2 linked regions of the Arabidopsis thaliana genome follow. The protein of the gene in region 1 interacts with the protein of each later gene in a biochemical or structural test. Each region holds a gene or a part of one and is shown in the gene's direction. Other genes may lie near its edges. The genes, in order: ECT1 and CIPK1.

What was found.
Region 2: the proteins of ECT1 (region 1) and CIPK1 form a complex in vitro, tested with the Arabidopsis thaliana proteins (one study listed by BioGRID).

Annotation. Positions count from the first base shown.
Region 1 is NC_003074.8:1,019,257-1,024,523, forward strand, and holds ECT1 (evolutionarily conserved C-terminal region 1), read left to right. Parts: upstream 1-1,889; 5' UTR 1,890-2,245; coding exon 2,246-2,297; intron 2,298-2,654; coding exon 2,655-2,725; intron 2,726-2,896; coding exon 2,897-3,118; intron 3,119-3,266; coding exon 3,267-3,815; intron 3,816-3,899; coding exon 3,900-4,112; intron 4,113-4,233; coding exon 4,234-4,371; intron 4,372-4,469; coding exon 4,470-4,511; 3' UTR 4,512-4,759; downstream 4,760-5,267. Other genes in the region: AT3G03960 (TCP-1/cpn60 chaperonin family protein), read left to right, coding at 5,176-5,267. UniProt on the Arabidopsis thaliana protein: Specifically recognizes and binds N6-methyladenosine (m6A)-containing RNAs, and regulates mRNA stability. M6A is a modification present at internal sites of mRNAs and some non-coding RNAs and plays a role in mRNA stability and processing.
Region 2 is NC_003074.8:5,988,280-5,995,066, reverse strand, and holds CIPK1 (CBL-interacting protein kinase 1), read left to right. Parts: upstream 1-2,065; 5' UTR 2,066-2,439; coding exon 2,440-2,631; intron 2,632-2,727; coding exon 2,728-2,790; intron 2,791-2,988; exon of another isoform or gene 2,989-3,851; coding exon of another isoform or gene 3,852-3,866; coding exon 3,867-3,938; intron 3,939-4,041; coding exon 4,042-4,149; intron 4,150-4,225; coding exon 4,226-4,306; intron 4,307-4,405; coding exon 4,406-4,585; intron 4,586-4,667; coding exon 4,668-4,883; intron 4,884-4,974; coding exon 4,975-5,079; intron 5,080-5,169; coding exon 5,170-5,286; intron 5,287-5,377; coding exon 5,378-5,440; intron 5,441-5,532; coding exon 5,533-5,607; intron 5,608-5,695; coding exon 5,696-5,758; 3' UTR 5,759-6,143; downstream 6,144-6,787. Other genes in the region: AT3G17500 (F-box family protein), read right to left, coding at 6,569-6,765. UniProt on the Arabidopsis thaliana protein: CIPK serine-threonine protein kinases interact with CBL proteins. Binding of a CBL protein to the regulatory NAF domain of CIPK protein lead to the activation of the kinase in a calcium-dependent manner.

The DNA of each region.
Region 1 (5,267 bases):
AAAAGTAAGTTTTTTTTTTTGTTTCTTGGGGGAAGGATTGATTCACTTTTTTCGATATTTTTTTCTACGTAAAAAATATTACTAATAATAATATTTTGAGAATTTAACACTAATTAATTTTTCTCTTTTTAAAAAAAATCATTTTTGCAACGTTAACTTTTTTTTGTTCTCTGTGCTCATCATCCCTAATCGCAGATGCTACTTATTGGCTATCGCTGTTCCGCTTTGGGTTCCTCGCGTGCCTTTTTTTTTGTACAGATATTTGTTCATAGAAATATTCTAAAATGTTATATGAAGAAAACTTAATTAAGAAAATGCTTTGTTATGTCATACGTGTAAGCACATTTATCACATAAATTTTCACTCGATTTGTTTTGAAACAATGAAAAAAAAGAAAGAGGAACTTGTTTCTTTTTGTTGACAACAAATCGTATGTCACAAAATCCATTAATTCATGGAGATCGGTGAAGCACATCGCGCTGTATGCATAATGGCTTTGTATATTTGTATTAGAAGTCAATGATTTGGAATTAATATGTCAAGTGATTATTAAAAAAAAAACGTAAGATTCAAGTACATTTCATATTGTTTGGCTATAAATTCTAGGCAATCAAATTATTTAAAACATGCTTAGAATAAATATATTTAACTCTAATATCAGTCGAGTGAGATGGCATAGAAAGACTTCAAAGTTATCATGTGTTTACTTAATATCTTATATATATTTCTTCTCTAGTGAGTGTTTTTAAAGTGGTTAAAAATCTGGTTGCAAAAATAAAATTGTTGCATCTAACACCAATTTAATGGTGCATATACTGTATGTGGAATTAAGTTGTTGGGAATGTTTTTGAGTTTTTTCCGGCCTTGAGGATGATGTTGTCCTTACCGCCTCATACAACTAATGAATGAGAGAACATGTGAGACAAAGGATAAACATATTGATCAGTTTTGTGCAACTCCATGTGATGTTTGCCAAAAATAATTTAATGCTATTTATATTTGAGAATCCATCACGAGCACAAGTTAAATAACTTTTGAAAAGCTATACATAGCAGAAACCAAACTCTAAAGATTTTGAGTTTATTTATATAAAAATTTAAAAAACGTTTTCCAATTCACCATAAATAATTTGAATTAATTATTATTTTAAACATGACTTGAATTTGTCTACTATTTTTGTTGTATGTGAGACCACAATACTAGTAACCCCACAAATCAACCTAAGATTTTATTTTTCTCATACACCTACTTATGTTAGAAAATCCACAGAAATTAAAATATATCACCAGTTCAAGGCCTACCTTTCTTTTTTTATAGAAGTTTAGGTAAGAAGCAAAATTATGGATCGATGCCTAACATAAGGTTCGTATCCCCTTGGAATCATCTTTGAAGCCATCTAAGACTCGTTTATGAAGCATCATCCCTTTTACATATGTGCAATGAAGGAATAATTTTAGATGCGATACCGATAGATATGGTGTGTTGATTAGCTTACGGAGTCTAATCACATACACACTCAATTTTTTGTCCTAGCCAAGAAAACCCATGTTTGCGACCGATCATTTTATATATAATTTTTGGCCTAAAATTTGTAAAAGTTTTCTTGAGTTGAATTCAAAATTAACGGATTTTCATATTTTAATGTTGTCAATATGAAAACCATATTTGTAAATTTCTCGCGAATGATTAGCAAAGTTTTAATATATCCCAACCACCACTCCTTTTGTATGTGTATGTTACAATTAACAAACATCACCATGGTTAGTACTTCCTAAACAAATGGAATTCATGATAATTTCTCTTAAGCAAAAGTCCTAAAAGTGTAGTTAAGCTTTACTGATTCGCTATATTGATTTTAAGTTAAGAAGAAAAAGAGGTCTCACTAATAAAAGCAATCAACGTCAAATTTTCAGAATCTTCTCGTGTGACGAAAAATCGTCATTAAGAAGAGGAGCCTTATCTTTTTGGGTTAAAGGAGCAAAAAAATCGAAATTTGTCGCTTAGAATTCCTCGTAAATTTGACCCATTTGGGGGCATTTCTGTTCTTTGTTAAAGATCACCGCCTTACGTTAAAGGGGAAGGAAGACGAAGAAAACAAAAAAGAACGGAACTTTCTAAAACCCCCCACACACCAAAAGCGCTCTCTCTCTCTGGGTTTTTCGAGGTTGCGTTTGCTTTCATCTGCCCAACCTTCTAGGGTTTTCCTTCTCTTAAAGCTTATCCCTTTTTTTTGCCTTCTCTCGATATGGCTGGAGCCGCTTCTTCTGATCGTCTCGTCACTAGCTTCCCTCTTCTGGGTACGTTGCTTTTAGCTCAAAGATTAAAACTTTTTTGGCATCGGAAGTTATCATTTTGTGCTCATCTTATAACTTGCGATTGATTTCTACCCTTGGGTTTAGGGTTTAGCGACTAGTGTTATCAGTATCTGTCGTAGGTTTTCTGTTTCTGATAGGATTGATTGGTGTCTAGAGTTCTCTACAAACCTCTTTATGGGATGCTAGATGAAATTTTGTGTTTTTCTGCAAGTTAGTGTTTTTTTATCTGCTTATGGGTTGAATTTCACCAGTAATTTGCCTTGTTTAGACTGTGCAATTGGAGTTTGAGGCTTTGTCATTTTAAAATATTAACTGGGCTCTTGTATATAATCGCTGCAGATACAGCAGATTTGTTTCAGGACTTGTCTTTAGGTTCAGATGCAAATGAAGTTCCTATGAACTTTACTAAGGTACTTAATTACTACTTCTTTTTGAAAATTTAAAGTTTTTGGAACTTAAATTGTGTTGTGTCGAAGGATCTTTAACTACAAACTGTTCTGTGGAGAGGTCTTGCTGCTCATTTAATGTGAATTTGATATACTGTGAGTTTTTTTTTTGTTAACTGACTGTTTTCTGAGAAGGGTTCTTTTCAGCATCCGTATGGTCATGCACCTTATGGTGCATCTTCTCATGGAAGTGAAAGAAGGCCAAACATGAATGCTGGCAATCTGCTAAATGGTGGAGACTCGATTGGTTCATACCCGTGGGGTTACATCCCAGCAAACTATCCTTCTGGTGGCTACCCTGATCCGAGGTTTGGTTATGACCGCAACAGCAATCACAGTTCCTTTTCACATCTCATGGTATGTTGGTTACTTCACATGACCTCTCTGCCTCTTTTCTGTCTTCATATAGTCAAGAGAATGTGTGTTTTGTTCTCTTCGTCATCTCTGCTGGGACTTGGGATTTTTTTTTTGTCTAATTACTGGCTACAACTGTTTTATTTAACAGAATCCACACAGCTCACAAGAAGTACCAAGTTTTGACCAATTGGGATATAATGATCATTTGTATTCCAACCATGGATTGTATGGACTTTACGGGAATGTAATTGACTCTGGTCATGCATATGGAACTTTTGGTTATGATTCCTGGAAACTTGGGCGAGGATGGTATCCCGTTGATGGTTATAGAAAGACCAGAAGCTTCAATCATGGGCGTGGTTACAGTGATGAGAAAGCAGATAGGCTTAATGAGCTATGTCGAGGACCAAGGAGTAGTGATTTCAAGAATCCACAAGTTCTTAACTCTTCAATGCTAGATGCAATGAAGCAAGACGTTTCAGCAGTAGATCTCCAGCGCTACAATGGGGAGAATTTCCCTGAATCATTTGTGAAAGCAAAATTCTTTGTGATCAAGTCATACAGCGAAGATGATGTTCATAACTGTATTAAGTATGGTGCATGGTCGAGCACACCAACTGGCAACAAGAAGTTGAATGCTGCATATTATGAAGCCAAAGAAAACTCCCAAGAATGCCCTGTGTATCTTCTGTTCTCGGTCAGTATGAGGTTACTTCACGTCTTGTGCAATATCCTTTCAGATTTACATTAAGTAACTCACTGTAATCGGTTTTATCTACAGGTGAATGCAAGTGGGCAATTTGTTGGTCTTGCGGAGATGGTAGGCCCTGTTGATTTCAACAAGACAATGGAGTATTGGCAGCAAGATAAATGGATTGGTTGTTTCCCTGTGAAGTGGCATATCATCAAAGACATACCAAACAGTCTCTTAAGACACATTACCCTGGCGAATAACGAGAACAAGCCTGTCACTAATAGCAGAGACACTCAAGAGGTCCGTTGAACTTCCCCTAAACCCTTTCTTGGACATGTTTGAAGCCTAATTGAATTCTAATAAATAATGATTATGGCTGTTAGTCAGGCTTTTAAACTGTACGGTGATGGTTTTGGTACAGGTGAATCTGGAGCATGGGACCAAGATCATAAAGATCTTCAAGGAGTATATGAGCAAGACATGTATACTTGATGATTACAAGTTCTATGAGACAAGGCAGAAGATCATCAGAGACAAGAAGATCAAGCAAAAGAAACAGGTACAATTCCTTAAACCCTGCTGCATCTAAAGCACATTAACCACCCCTCTTGATACAGTCTCTGGGATTGTTTCATTTTGATTGTTTTGTTATATTAGGCCCTTGATGGAGCTTCGGGGGAAACAATTAACTTGAGTTGAAAGATGGAATCAATGCAAGGAAAGAAGAAGATGACTTAATTAAAAGAACTTAGTTTTGAATTATGTTTTTTCTTCAGGGTTGGGATTTCTAAAAACCTAATACACATCTTTAATCTGTGTGTTTTCTCTGCTTATCTAAACAAAACTTACATTGTCTTTTGTTCCTCTTAAGGGGACGCACATCTGATAAAACAAAAACTCAGGCTTTCCTTCAAAGTTCATATCATGTTATTTTCAAGTTATTTCTCTTTTAGTCCCTAAACTTTCATATAATAAGACTCTCATCCGTAAATGTCAAAAATCTCACATTTTGGCCCACATCACCATAAAAGTTAAAACGACACCGTTTAGCACAAAAACCAGAAGGAATGGTGTTCTCTATTCGTCCCTAAACTTTCATATAATACAACTTTCACCCCTAAAGATTTAAGATCTCAATTTTTGGCCCCCATCCCCTTAAAATTTAAAACGACACCGTTGTGAACTCCCATTTTAAAACCTCGAAAGTTTTCTAGGGCAATCTCGGCCACTTTTACTCACAGAAAACCTTCTCTCTAAACTTCTTCGAAAATCTCACAGAGCTTCTTCTTCTTCGCTTTTAGGGTTTTTGCTCTATTGTTTCGAGTGACCCAACTTCGAAGCTTATAGATCGTTACCTTAGAAAATGGTGGGTATGTCGATGCAGCCATATGGTATTCAATCGATGCTTAAAGAAGGTTACAGGCATCTCTCTGGTCTCGACGAAGCCGTCATTAA
Region 2 (6,787 bases), 5.0 Mb from region 1:
TTTTCAATTCTTAAATGTTATGAGAATCAGACAATCTATTGGCTAGCTATGAGCATTAACATGAGTTTTGGCACGAAATTTGTTATGAAAAAACAAAACTTCTCCTTTTAAATACTTCATTAATTGTTTACCATTACCATTGTTGATTTGGTACATATGATTTCTCGTTCCATCTTGGGTTAATATCTCTTTAATTAATATGTTTTAGGGTTATTGGGCTCGTATATGTAGTGAGAGACTCTACATAGGAAGCTAGAGTTGTAACACGTAGAATCAAAGGCTAATATTAATGTTTCTTAATCAATGGTTAATATCTCTTTAGTTTAACATTAAAAGAGCACGAGCAAAAGAATATAACAAGAGAAAATTGTGGTATAAAATATTTGCTTGAGAAAGTTTATATAACCACGAACGAGTTACTCTTTTATTTATTTAAATTTATATATATAACACACCTAGTCATCTACACACAAAAGAGAGAGAGAGAGAGGTTCTGATAACATAGATCAATCAATATGTTACTCACTGCCGGCAGCAATACTATCACCGGCCATTTTGACACGTTTGAGAGACTCGAATAATTTTAATTATTGGTTTTTTCTCCTTTTCTATATAGTATCTATTCATTTCAGCCACATCATTTACTAACTACAAATTTTAATAAAAACCTTGGGAAAAAGATGTGTAGAGAAACATGTGACATATGACCTTTTCATTACCAAAAATATGTTGGGACGACTGACGAGAGCTAAGAACCACTACATTCTTCAATAATCTATGTATCCAATAAAAAGATATAATATGGAGTTTTCCAAATTCAAGAGATTAGCCTGGTGCCCAGGCCCTGGTTTATTGAAACTTTTGGATTCTCAAAAACAATTTATTTATTTTAATTAAATACACAAACCGCATAAGAAAAACAAATATAAATTGAATGGTTCCATGTGATTTAATTAATTGTGAGCCGACAAAGGACGAGACATGAAATATAGTATAAATTACCATAGTTTTTTTTAAAAAATATTAACTTTAAGTGTATCATTAACGATTGTGTTTCTAAACGCTTGCCTATATTGCGAATTAAAAATTTGTAAAAGTCTACAACTAATATTATTAGTCTACAAAGACAGAAACAATATAAAACTGAAAGCACCATGTTTATTTCCCCCCAAACCGAAAGCACTATCGTAAAAAAGTGTTTTAAATCTAATTATCAATTCATGCACGATATCGACGTATATAAATGGTTTATTACCAAATTATCTCTTAAACTGAAAATGCCACGACAATGAAGACCTACTGTCTATGAAACCAAGTCATAAGTTCAAAATTTCCATAGAAACGAATGGGTTATGAACGCGTTGTTTAATTTGTTGTAGTGTGTATATATAACTTGATCTTAAGTTTAGGTCTCTTTTGATCTCCTCTTTTATAACAAAGGTACAAAACTAAACTGTAACTTTAAGAAATCATAGTTGGACTTCAACTTTTAAGTAACTCCAACATGAAAACTTGGAAAGTATGTGATTCCTTGTGAACTTTTATGTGTATACAAGTTTGTTTCTACATTTAAGAACTAAAATCCGAAAGCCAAATCAAAACTGCTCCAGTAACAAGAACTATAAAACTGCAAGCACCAATCTTTTTGTAGCGTTTCTTTCTGACTTTAAACCAAAAGTTCTTATGAATATATTTTTTCATCTATTATTATTTAATTTCAACATAAAACTAATGCAACAAATGACGTGGGCCTATTGATGCATACAAGTACACACATAAAATACACACATATTCGCAATATACATCATATATAGAATTATTCTGATAAATCAATATACTCTTTGCGTATATTTTCCATATTTTGATTGTTGACAGAAATAAGATCCTTTTTAAATTTCTCCTTATAATGAACATAGACATAATTTCATTTGATAGGAGTTTTATTTGACCAATAATAATAAATCTCGATAAGTACCCTACTAAAAAAATCTTATTTCGATAATATCAAATCTTATATGGTTTGTTAGATTAATCTTTTTCTTTTGTGAAGATTAATATGTTTCTAGTTATCCAATAAAAATCTGGCTAACAAAAACCAAAAAAAAATAGTTAACGAGGAATATATATATAAAAAGAAGTGAATATAATAAGAAGAGAAGAGGAAACAAAGAGAAGTAGCGTCCTCTCTTCAATTTCAACCGGCACTTTCTTCTCTTCTTCTTCTTCTTCCCAATCTTCCTCGTCTCTTTACCTACACCTATATATATATATATATATATATCTCCTTCCCTCACACACATACCTGCACAGCTACAATAATCTACTTCCCCTCTTTCAATAACGGAATTAATAGTAATCTAATCGGAAGATTCAAGCGAGAAATCGATTTGGTTGTCTGTTAATTTGTTGGGAAATAAATTGAAATAGGAGATTGATTGGATGGTGAGAAGGCAAGAGGAGGAGAAGAAGGCGGAGAAGGGAATGCGTCTGGGGAAATACGAGCTAGGGAGGACGCTCGGCGAGGGTAATTTCGGTAAAGTTAAATTCGCTAAAGATACCGTCTCCGGTCATTCCTTCGCCGTTAAAATCATCGACAAGTCTCGTATCGCCGATCTCAACTTCTCCTTACAGGTTCCCATCTCTCTATCATCATTTCTAATTTTTTTCTTTTCTCTTCTTTTACTAAATTTGTAATTTGACAGATCCAATTCTTATGAATCTGTGCAGATAAAAAGAGAGATCCGGACTCTGAAAATGTTGAAACATCCCCACATTGTTAGATTACATGAGGTCCGTATCTTAAATTTTTGTGTATAATCATCTTTGGATTATCGAAATGATTCTGTGATTAGGAAGTAAAAAGGTTTATTGCTTAATTAGTATAACAATTTTTGATTATTCTTCTGTTTGCTTGTTTCTGTTTATTTAGTATATACCTGAGTATGACAGAAAGTGATCGAATTATTGCCTGCTTATGGATGGTTATTCAAATTTTGATTCGTCATTTTAGATTGTTAGATTAGGTTTAGTAAACTATTTTTAGTTAATTTCTTCATTGTTGTTTCTTTATCTATCAAAATGGAGCTGACGAGGATTAAAAACACCTCAAATCTTGGATAATTGTTGTTTGCTTTTTGGATCTTTTTTTTTACTGTTTAGGAATATTCTTACAAGTCATTTGGTTTCGTACCCAAACATGTTTCATTTAGCTTGTTTTTCACGTTGCCAATTAGCCGCATCATTTTACATAATTATTAAGTTAATTATTCCATTATTTGATATGGTGGCTTGGCCGGTAACACAAATCTGACCTGTTCAATTCAAAGGTGGGGTCCTAAAAAAAATTATCGTGAAAAATGCAGGATATGTCGCTTGATCATCATATAATTGCTTAATCTTAGTACCCTTTTAAGCTTTTTATCATGTGGACCCTCTTTGATCTTATGCTTAGTTTTACTTTTTATTTTATTTTATTCATATAGTATTATTTCAGATGATTATTGTATGGGTCATTGCTTGCTGTATCTTTGCGTTTTATTGTTGACTTCTAATTATTTCGATTGCTTCTTCCTCTTTGCCATTTAACACGAGATTAATCGTGACTTTTGGTTAAGCAACCATTGTGGATCTTCACTTATTTGATACACGTGGTCCACTTTTTAAGCTCGTGACTAACTTTGTCGTGTCTTGGACAACTAAGTGTTTTTTATGTAATCTGTGGATATGAATGCAATTCGAATTCTAAATGTTTCTTTTTCTTTCTTGTGACTAATCTTTTGGATTCTCAAACATGAAACATCTTACCTCAGAACTCACTGTTCCTTTACCTTGAAACTAATGGCCTCTTCCTTATGGTAATCATGCAGGTCTTGGCTAGCAAAACGAAAATTAATATGGTAATGGAACTTGTTACCGGAGGAGAATTGTTCGACAGAATTGTAAGACTCTTACTAGCCTCTATGCTCAAAGCAAAAAAGATTTTTTTTCTTTTTTTGACGAGTGTCATTTTTGCTAAACTCACACTTTGATGATAACTCTCAGGTTTCCAACGGAAAATTAACAGAAACTGATGGAAGAAAAATGTTTCAGCAGCTTATCGATGGAATCAGCTACTGTCATAGCAAAGGTGTTTTCCACAGGGATCTCAAGGTCTGTGATTCTCTCACTGTGTTTCAAACCATGGAAACCTTATGGAATAGTGTACTGATGTTTTTCTATATTGCAGCTAGAGAATGTTCTTCTTGATGCAAAGGGACATATAAAGATCACTGATTTTGGCCTCAGTGCTCTGCCTCAGCATTTTAGGGTACTTGAAAATATCATCTTAAAACCATAGCATATCACAGCAGAATTATAATTGTTGAATCCGTTCGAGTTACAACTAATTTTCTCTTTGGCATTTTAGGATGACGGATTGTTGCATACAACCTGTGGAAGTCCTAATTACGTTGCGCCTGAGGTTTTAGCTAACAGAGGCTACGATGGTGCAGCATCAGACATATGGTCCTGTGGTGTAATCTTGTATGTGATTCTAACCGGATGTCTTCCTTTCGACGACAGAAACCTTGCAGTTCTTTACCAGAAGGTAAACCTCATTTTTTCTTATATATATGCCAATTCAATACACATTTTGAAGAAATAAGCTTGATAATTGATTTGATTTCTAGATATGTAAAGGAGACCCACCAATACCAAGATGGTTATCCCCGGGTGCAAGAACCATGATTAAGAGAATGCTTGATCCAAATCCAGTCACGAGGATCACAGTTGTGGGTATTAAAGCCAGCGAGTGGTTCAAACTTGAGTACATTCCTTCAATTCCCGATGATGATGACGAAGAAGAAGTTGACACAGACGATGATGCTTTCTCAATCCAAGAACTCGTAAGAATCTGCCACCCTTACTCTCTATCGCAACTGCATTTGAGTCAAGTACAATGTCCTCATTTCTCTGTCTCTCTTTTGAATGGTCTAGGGATCAGAAGAAGGGAAGGGCAGTGATTCACCGACCATCATCAATGCGTTTCAGTTAATCGGAATGTCTTCCTTTCTTGACCTGTCCGGTTTCTTTGAACAAGAGGTAACTAATCTTCTAATACTCTGTTTCAAAGATCTGCTCTCTGCTTGAGCCAATGTATAATAAAAAGGAGTTATACTTTTACTTTCTCAGAATGTATCAGAGAGGAGAATAAGATTCACTTCAAATAGCTCAGCAAAAGATTTACTGGAGAAAATCGAAACAGCCGTTACAGAAATGGGATTCAGTGTACAAAAGAAACATGCCAAGGTGGGTCTTCACAACATGGTCTTCCTCTTCCTTAGCAACTTGGAATTTCAAATCTGTAGGTTTATAAACTTTAAACTGTATTTTGTTTCAGTTAAGAGTAAAACAAGAAGAAAGAAACCAGAAAGGTCAAGTTGGTTTATCAGTAACAGCTGAGGTATATTAACTATTACGTAAACATTATTTCACTGTTCAATAGACTATTTAGTGAGATTATTTGACTAATAGAAGAAATTCTTATGATATCAGGTTTTCGAGATAAAGCCGTCACTGAACGTGGTTGAGCTAAGAAAATCTTATGGCGATTCATGTTTATATAGACAGGTATGCCACTATTGTCATTTCTTAATTAGACTGAAGAAACACATATCAAAGATAAAAATGTTTATGTTTGATATTGGGGTTGGTGCAGTTGTACGAGAGACTATTAAAAGACGTGGGCACATCCTCGCCGGAGCAAGAGATAGTAACTTAGGTGTTGGTGTTTTCGGCTGAAGAGATATACATAGCTCTAATAATTTATCATATGGAACACACCATCCATGTTCATATAATTTATTATCTTAAGTATATATAAAAGGAGCTCGATTTATATGATTAGTGCAAATAGTAATTGCATTTAAGTATAAACCGTGGCGTAGATCTTTCCTCAAGAATTAGAGATTTTATTCACTACCTTTGTATTTGTTTTTATTATTATTTGGTGTGGCAAATCTGCCTACTAGCAAAAAAGATCCCATAAAAAATCTCTTCATTATTTTTGTAAATAATATACATGTGTTTAGTTTGTATCTGTACATCATTCAATTCCGCACCAACCGATCTACGTATATAAATTTTTAGTATTATGCTATGTTGCTTTCGTCTCATAAAATACTCTCAAGAGTCATGAGTCATGTGACCTATCAACATTTAGCGTCCTGGAATGTAACAATTGTAGTTTTAAAGTTAGTCAAATTCACAACTTGTTCTTGTTTTAGTTGGAACTTGAATGTAGTGCAAATAAGCCAGGAATCAAAATAATATATCTAGTCATAGATTAATCAAACGATTTTACTACAAAAACGCAAAAACGAATAAACAAAAAAAGGAGATTGAAGAAATTACGTCCTTACCTGTATCGACTAATACTGAACCAAACTTGGAACATAATTGAAAATAAAACGGCTCACATGAGTTCATAAAAGGAATGAACTTAGGCCATTCGCCAAAATGGATTTCTGTGTATTCACGGTCCTCCCCAACAATGTATACAAGGTTCTTGCTCGCAAGTCTGTTACTTGTCTCACAACCCACATAGCAAGGCCATTCCTTTCTCCTTGTCGATGAAGAAACTGTCATACGATAACATAGCACGACCACCAATGTCTACATCTACCGTAAAGAATTTGCTCCACTGCACTTCTTTAGTATCAATCTTATCAGTTATCCATACATCCACCTTTGATGCACGACAACGCTGAAGTACCAATGATAGTTGTTCTTATCTAACAACTGATAGAGC